Linked DNA regions of Xenopus tropicalis. The protein of the gene in region 2 interacts with the protein of the main gene of each other region in a pairwise test. Links are inferred from orthologs where the notes say so. Each region holds a gene or a part of one and is shown on either strand. Other genes may lie near its edges. The genes, in order: zfp36 and xrn1.

What was found.
Region 1: the proteins of xrn1 (region 2) and zfp36 interact in a two-hybrid assay, tested with the Homo sapiens proteins (2 studies listed by BioGRID). The link is inferred for Xenopus tropicalis from reciprocal best matches to the Homo sapiens genes XRN1 and ZFP36.

Annotation. Positions count from the first base shown.
Region 1 is NC_030684.2:81,494,655-81,498,664, reverse strand, and holds the start of zfp36 (tristetraprolin), read right to left. Parts: upstream 2,801-4,010; 5' UTR 2,768-2,800; coding exon 2,732-2,767; intron 253-2,731; coding exon 1-252. UniProt on the Homo sapiens protein: Zinc-finger RNA-binding protein that destabilizes several cytoplasmic AU-rich element (ARE)-containing mRNA transcripts by promoting their poly(A) tail removal or deadenylation, and hence provide a mechanism for attenuating protein synthesis.
Region 2 is NC_030681.2:119,575,432-119,579,469, forward strand, and holds part of xrn1 (5'-3' exoribonuclease 1), read right to left. Parts: coding exon 4,023-4,038; intron 3,894-4,022; coding exon 3,807-3,893; intron 3,701-3,806; coding exon 3,586-3,700; intron 2,906-3,585; coding exon 2,844-2,905; intron 2,644-2,843; coding exon 2,542-2,643; intron 1,998-2,541; coding exon 1,869-1,997; intron 1,049-1,868; coding exon 922-1,048; intron 1-921. UniProt on the Homo sapiens protein: Major 5'-3' exoribonuclease involved in mRNA decay. Required for the 5'-3'-processing of the G4 tetraplex-containing DNA and RNA substrates. The kinetic of hydrolysis is faster for G4 RNA tetraplex than for G4 DNA tetraplex and monomeric RNA tetraplex.

The DNA.
Region 1 (4,010 bases), on a different chromosome or scaffold from region 2:
TGCAGGAAGAGCAGTCTTGAGGGGTGGAAATCCAGGTGGAGGAGCAGGAATTGTCAACCGTGGTCCTTCTGTCAGGCTTATCGAACGGTCACTTCGGAATGGGGCTCGTGGAAGGTCAAAGTTCCAAGAATCAATTGAGGGCCTGTACAGATCATCGAGGTCAGGGGTACAGGAATGTCTCCGTTGAGTACTAAGTAATTTCCCTTCTCTTGGAGAATCAAGATCTTCTGAAAGATCCAGGTTGCGCAAATTCTGAGGGATAACATTAGGTCAAAGTTAGAGGGTACAAACCTAGGGGTCAAGGTTTATGGCAACAAAGGGTCTGCATGCTTCTTTGTCAGTAAAGTACCTTTTTACAAAATGTTCTGTTTAAATGGTCAGAAAGCACAAGATTTAAATATGAGGTAAATCTGGTATGTGGACAGAAGCAATAAAGCAACCAACAGATATATCACATTATATAGAAGTGCTATTTTGGTTTAAAGGTGTATGCAGGGTGTAGCAAAGGTATGGGATACAACACTGATACATAGGAGCACAGACAGGGGACAGGGTTAAATATAGGCAGTAATGATCACACAAAGAAACTTAAAGTTGTATGAATAAACAATACAATGAATGATGGTTAAGCAAATATAGGGGGTAAAAGGGCTGGGTGACATCTATACTAGAGAGGGTGGTTTTCAGCAGTACTTAAAAAATAAGTAAAGTTAAAAGACAAGCAGAAGAGAAAAGGATGGGGGTGGAAATACAGAAGTAAATTGGGAAATAAAATATAAATTTATAAATGGAGTGAAGGACTGACAGCTAAAGGAAAATAAGTATGAGATGAACAAGGCACCATGATAAACACACAGCTGCTGTGTGACAAGGGCCATAATTAGGAGAGGGACAGAGGCTATGATTACTACGGGCCCTGGGACCTGAAAAAGGTTTGTGGTAATGAAAACCAATGTCATCTTTGATGTTTAAGGGCAATGGCACAAGGGGCGATTCCCAGAGTTTTGCTGCATGTTTGATTGCTCGACCCACAAATGGCAGGGTCTAGACAATTACTATCTGAGTCAAAGGAAGGACAGTTTTAAACATTTTGCCCCAACTGGTGGGGTGGCGAGGTTCCTAAAAAATAGGCAAGCATGATTCCATAATAATTGCTTTAAGGATAGAGGTATATATAGCAGGTCCAATATTTGCTTCTAGTTACTCCACTGTGTTTGACAAAGAAAGGCAAAGAACAAGAAAGGTACACAGAAAAGGTCTGACAGAGGCATATGGACGATAGTCAGAGATGCCCAGGAAGAAGCAGCAAGGACCATAGGAAGTATGGAGTAAAGAGAAAGTGCCAGAGAAATATAATGAGATAAATACAGGTTGGTGAAGCTAAAGGAAGAGGTATACATACTAATTTGCTAATGGAATGAAAGAACAACAACAATCTAAAGAACAGACAGAACTTAAGAAGAAAAACATGGAATAGCATGCACCGTAAGAGACAGAAGGGCAGACTGGTAGACAGAGAGAAGAACACAAAAAAGTGTATAACAGAGGCTTGGAGAGAAGGGAAAAACAGACATGAGAAAGAAGGTCAGATAGATTTTGGAGCCAGGGATGGGAGTAAATATGTCACTAGTAGGAATAAGAGTGAATACCAATTTTTCCTCTGTTTCAAAATACGCACCATCCAATTGCACAACGTAATGTAGAAACAAAGCAGAAAACAGCAGTACTTCAGTCTGAAATTCACCTTTTATTGGTGCATATCACAACATGATTTGAGAACTTGTCCCTTTTTTGAAAAAGTTCCCAAAACATGTTATGATATTCACCAATAAAAGGTAAATAGCAGACTGAAGTGATACTGTTTTCTGCTTTGTTTCTACATTACATTGTGCAATGGGAGTAAATATGTAACAGGAAGACAAGAAAAGGGTGTAAGACTTAATGCCACAGAAGCTGAGCATTTCGTCAGATCGGAGGTGGGGGAATGGTTATAATCCGGTTTAGCAGGGAGAGGCAGTTTCAACTGTGATGATGTAAAGCAGCACCCAGAAACAATTTTCCTAACAAGTGAAGCTGAATATGTAAGCCTGCTTATTGCCTGCTTATTGCCAGTCAGTCGGCATTACAGGAAGCACCTGTACTTCTGCTGCCGCTACCCTAAAACCAAACTGGAAAGGAAACATACAATAAAAATACCACTCTGCTGCTATTTTTTTTTATCTATTTACACTCTAACCAGCACCCGAAGAATAGGTCTCTTGGGCATAAGTCCTACAAGCTAACCTCTATCACTACCTGACAAAATGCTTAATAACCCAATGTGTACATTTTCTCTTATCTGTGTGTCTACAATTGGTAAAACCATATCTGTAAGTACATCTGGGACACAATACATAAAGTCTTAGATAATATACCAGTGTTATAAAGAGAATGAAATCACATAAAATTCTGCAGTACCCTCTGCTTCAACTTTTTGGCTCCTGAACTAAAATTATACTTTTATTTCAGCACAAGGTCGGGTTCCTGAAATATATCTTCTTTTTACATCTTCTCAGTTAACCCTTTCAATTCATCCTTCTATTTTGTGGAACTCCCCAGCATCATCACTTCTGCTCTCTTTTAAAAACCATCCAAATAAAACCACCTGTTAGTAGGCTGTTGTATTGAAAGAGGCAAGGAAAGCTGATCAAGCAGAAAACTAAAGTTGAGAAAGCTTCAGGAGGAACCATACCTGATAGAGAGTGTGAATATCCAGGATAGAGGACATACTGATCCAGCAGGGAAGCTTCTGTCACACAGCAAATCCCTTATAGTGCTGCTCTATGATCACCATGTTTATATATATATGCTCAAATCCCCTCCCTCCTCTGAAGTTATGAGGTCATCGCAAAGGGTGAAGTCCAAAGGGGGTGGGGAGTGTTAGGTAATCTCGCCCAGCTAGGAAAACAAGTTCCTTCCAAGCCAACAGGGAGGGGACACAGAAACAGAGCAAAACAGGCAGAGAGGCCCAGACGGCAGGGAGGGAGAGAGAGAGAGACAGAAACCACAGGAAGATGATGAAAGAAAGGGAGGAGCGCTAAATAAGACCGAGAGCACTAAAAAAAAAGATAGAAATGTAAAGTATCTGTTGTGCTCTAATGAGAAAAAAAATGAAATAATAATAAAATGAACTGAGCACATAGTGAAATTGAAAGAGGGTGGCATAGAGAGAGGGGTGAGCAGTGGGATGAAAGCTGAAGGGTGAGGGGTATGACTGCGTAAGCAAACTAGGAAGTGGGGCGAAGAGTTGGGTAACATTATTATCCTTTATATAAAGGAACAACATATCAGAGAGCCCCTAGCCTTGGACTGACAATACAAACAGTACTACAAATAGAAACAATCCAGCTTCAAACAATGGAACAAGGGAGACACACCATGATATGAGGCCAGAGAGCAATGCAAAGAGCTCACAATCTAGTAGAAAAGAAGGCAGAGGGTGTGAGATAGGGAGTTAGATGGGTTAAGCAAAGGGATAGCTGGAAAAAGAAGCATGTTATTAACTTTGTGAGTTAGGGAGTGGGCAAGTACTGGGAGCAAAATTATAGGGAAGAGGAGTAGGCTTGGGTAGGTTAAAACAGGTAGGTAACCTAAAAACAAGGGGTATAAGAGCTAAGCACTAGCCAGGCATAGATAGAGAAAGTAAGAACAGGGCCGCTCTAAGGTACCAGCTGGGCAAAATTTCATTAAGGGGCACCCACTGGCAGACAGAAAGGAATTTATTCCTGTTGTTACATTGTGTAGAGATGGTTAGCATTTAGGGGGCATGCTGAGTGTAAAGTGACATCACACTAAAAGGGGTGTATGCTACATGAAAAAATCCCAAAAGGAATACTTACTTGGCTGTCATTAAAGGAGAATGGAAGTCAAAATTTAAAAAGCATACTGCCCAATAGTCCTCCTATTGTTTAGTAAAAACGCCACACTTTTGGCTCACCTAATCAAATATTTACTCAGTCACACTTACTTCA
Region 2 (4,038 bases):
AACTTTTTAATAAATAGTTGAGCTGCAGAAATTGACTATGGTCCAGTTTGTGCCAGATTATTTTGCAAGATTTGAACATGATGCATTTCATTTCAGTTTGCTTGTTAGGTTTTCAGAAAAGTATCCTTCCTCTTCAAAAGTAAGGACAGAGTTGCATTTAATTGTCCATAAACAGAACAATTATATCACTGAATTTATGTAGGAACACAGCAAATTAAGACACAGGGAATTCACTAGAGTAGCATTCGGACACAAAAATCAGAGTTGGTTAGAAGAGTTGTTATTGTTTCCTTGCTCTTGATTAACAATAGGGGAATAAGGCTGAAAATGATACACTGATGTCTCATACTGTTTATAAGTAGGTTATTACCTGTGAGCGCATTCTCATTCCAGCATACAGACATCACTATTCACTAGCCCTTCTTTCTAAAGAACACAAAACTCTATGCAGAAGCAATGTGTTTAAATTTCCTTTACCGGCTTAAAGCCTTTAGAGTTAAACAGCATGCAAAGTATGTACTTTTATGAAATAAGTACATAATACATATACGTTTTCCTGTAAAACTGTCTCTGCTGCAATCTAGGCACTTGCCAACTAGGCCACAATCCTTTTGGGTACAGATGTTACTATCAAGGTAGGCTGTGCATGTAATGTTGTGTCCAGACAACTAGTTAACAAAGTAGTCTTACACAAGGCTGTAACTGTAAACAGATACTTAAAATATACACTATATGAGCTGACACGCACTTTACTGATTTCAGATTCTTTTAAGTGATAAACATAAAGGGTAATAAGGGGCTGAAGTATTGAAAATCTGAAGAAGAGACAATACAAGATCAGAACTGATGAACATATTCTAACTGCCAACAACATAACAGTTTCAACAGAACTACTATAATTTAGAGAAATGTTATTTATACCTATCTGTTTGGTTTGTTTGCGCTGAGACGATGCTGTGACAGTATCCTTTTTAACTCCTTCTTTGTGTTGGTCTGTAGAGTCTGAGCTGTCAATCTTGAGGATCTCTTTTAACATTTGAGTTCCTTTCTAATACCAAAAGATAAAATATATTATTCTGCTTTATTTGCTATCTGTATTTCACCCAGTTCGCTGCTACAGTCAAAAAATAAGTAGGCTATTTAAAGGAGAAGGAAAGGTACAATCACTGGGGGTGCTTTATATTTTGGCATCCCCCCCTGTTAAAGCAGAAAACGTACCAGCCCGTGTTGGCTGCGAGCCAGCGATTCTCTTCCTTCTTCTGTCTTTATACTGCTTGTGTATGTGCAGTAGAGTTAAAAGCCAAACTTAAACAAGAAAGTCAGCATTTTCACCCTTCTGCGCATGCCCTGGCCCCGGGAATCAGAAGAACAAAGACAGATGGGTCCCGGAGCCACCCTGCGCAGATAGGGTTTTCTCCTAACAGGAGCAATTACAATCACTGGGGGGTTTCTAACATTTTTTGCACCCTCAATTTTACCTTTCCTTCTCCTTTGAAAGGATAATGCACAGACCATGATTAATTTTACCAGTGGGGGAGGTCAGTAACCTACATACCAAGCAGCCCCTGATTTACAATTCATGTAATGCGCCCCCTCACTCGTACGCATGCGCAGTTGTTTCTCTCCTCCCAACCACTGCCCCTGTCGTGCATAGTTCCTTCTCGCTTGCACTCCTCTTTTGGTCCTAGAGCACTGGGGAATTGGTGTGTAGAAGATTGGGCTATTTCCCCTAGCACTCTGGAAAAAAACCAAATGCGACTGGGCAGCATGCCGCCCCTAAAATCCCACCACCCTAGGCCCGGGTCTTTTCTCAAATCTGGGCCCAGTACCAAGTCGATATAGCATTAAGATGGGTTCTAAATACCAACCATGGCAAATGACTGAGGGGACAAGTGTTCCGCGCTAGAGCTCTTGTCTTGGCTTTGAGGTGCAGGCTGTGTCTGCTCTTCATCTGCAATCTTCAGTGATGCAATTAAATTTTCAAACTCACTATTCGGCTAAGAATAACAAAAACAAAAAATTGTAGTTTAATCAAACACTGGTATCCTTACATTTTTCACTATTATCTTTCCAAGTTGCCAGTATGCCATATTATTAGAGATTTAGCCAGTGGTCCAAAATGTAAAATTACATTTGCTAGCTTTCTCGGTGTCAACAAAGGTTTCTCCTGGAATCCTTTGTGGAAATTGTCAGAAGGTAGATCTTCTAGGAAAGATTGTTTCCATTGTTTGATAAGAGTATGGATAATGGCAAATTGTATAGTTTTGTCACCCCAGCAATTTAGCGCTCTCAGGAAGGAGGACAAAATGCTGCAAATCTCTCCATGTGCTATTATCCTTATGCAGATGAATTATATTGCATGGGGGGCAAAGCTGGGGCCAAACAGGCAACTTGGTTGCCCAGGCTGGCCCTAGCTCATGTAGAAAGCAACTTCCTCATTCCCTGTACAAACAGACAACATATTATGCAAGAATAGGTTATGCCCAATACAAAGCACAAACATGCAGGAAACATTGGAAGGAATGGTGTCTCTCTCTTTACCTTTCCTTCTGAAGCCTTAGGAATATCTTTCTCAATCTGCATATCTAAGAGATTGTCAGTTCGTTTCAACAGTTTCACTTGCTTCATAGAATCGTACGTATTCTGTAACAAAACAACATGCTTATTCACACTGTATTATCCCTTTTATATTCTAAGAGAAGTCCTGGACACTTATGATACGTTTTAACCTTATTTATAGTAAGTTCAAAATTGATGCTTCTTGTGGAGGTTTGTGCTTATGACCACTGACGGATTTTGTAAATAAAAAACAACGAGTAAGAAAAATCTGTAAAATAACTTACCGGTTTGTTTAACGCACCCTGGGTTTGGCTCTCATGCTTTTGAAACCTGAAATCCTCTTTCACTAAAAAACATAAAAATGTAGCTGGATTTAACTTATTATTGGAGTAAGTAATTCAGAAAGGGATTTCACACAGCTGTGTCAATATAACAATATTATGCTACAGCTCTAACACTGCATTAAATGTACAAAGATTATATATATATATATATATATATATATATATATATATATATATATATATATATATATATATATATATATATATATATATATATATATATATATTGAACTTGATTCTTTGTAAAAACAAAAGGGACTTTTTGCTAAAGCTAATTTGCTAAGGTAAGCGCATATGCATGCATGCAAAAAAAAATGGCAACACAACATGTTTTGTTTTTTTGCAAGAAATCCAGTGTAATTGTGCCTCATGCAATTCGCAGCTATGTTGCAAATAGCCAAAACCTATGCAAAAATGCAGGCTGCAAAGCTAGTGTCTGTTGGCGAGGCGCATCTGTCATCATGGGAACCACATGGGCATTGTCATTTTTTTGAATGAATAGGGATTGAGCTAACCATACTTTTTGCCTATTGTTTTATTCATTTAGATTAAAAATATATAAACGGATAAAGTAACATAGAATAGTAAAAATAAAACCAAGACTGAATAGTATCCCTTTAAGCCACAGCAAAATCAAAGCAGCAATTTCTAGTGATGTGTTCTTTACCATTTTCTTACTTACTTTTCCTAATTGGATCCTGTCTTTTGGACTGACATTTGGGGCTGCTCTCAGCCATTTCTGACTTATAAAAATGATTATTGGGGCCTGGCTTCTTTTCCTGAGGTAGGTTCATAGCCTGCACAAGAATATTTAATGTTATTTCTGTCAAATCAATGTCAAATAATATATATAAGATAATAAGCAAAAGACCATCATACAGCTAGAGAACATGCCAGACAAACCTTGCCATGCAAGTTTTGAGCACGAGGTGATTTCCCAGAGTCTTGCAGTGAGTGCCACACATTGTAATACTCATCATCCTGTTTATGCTTTGAAGACAACAAAAATTATAAGCATATAAGAATGTGACATGTGTGTGGCTGGAAAGAGCACAGATATTATAGTGAAACATGTAAAGCACATAAATATTACATAGTTCTTCATTCTAATTGACTTGCCTTTTGTTTCTGATTT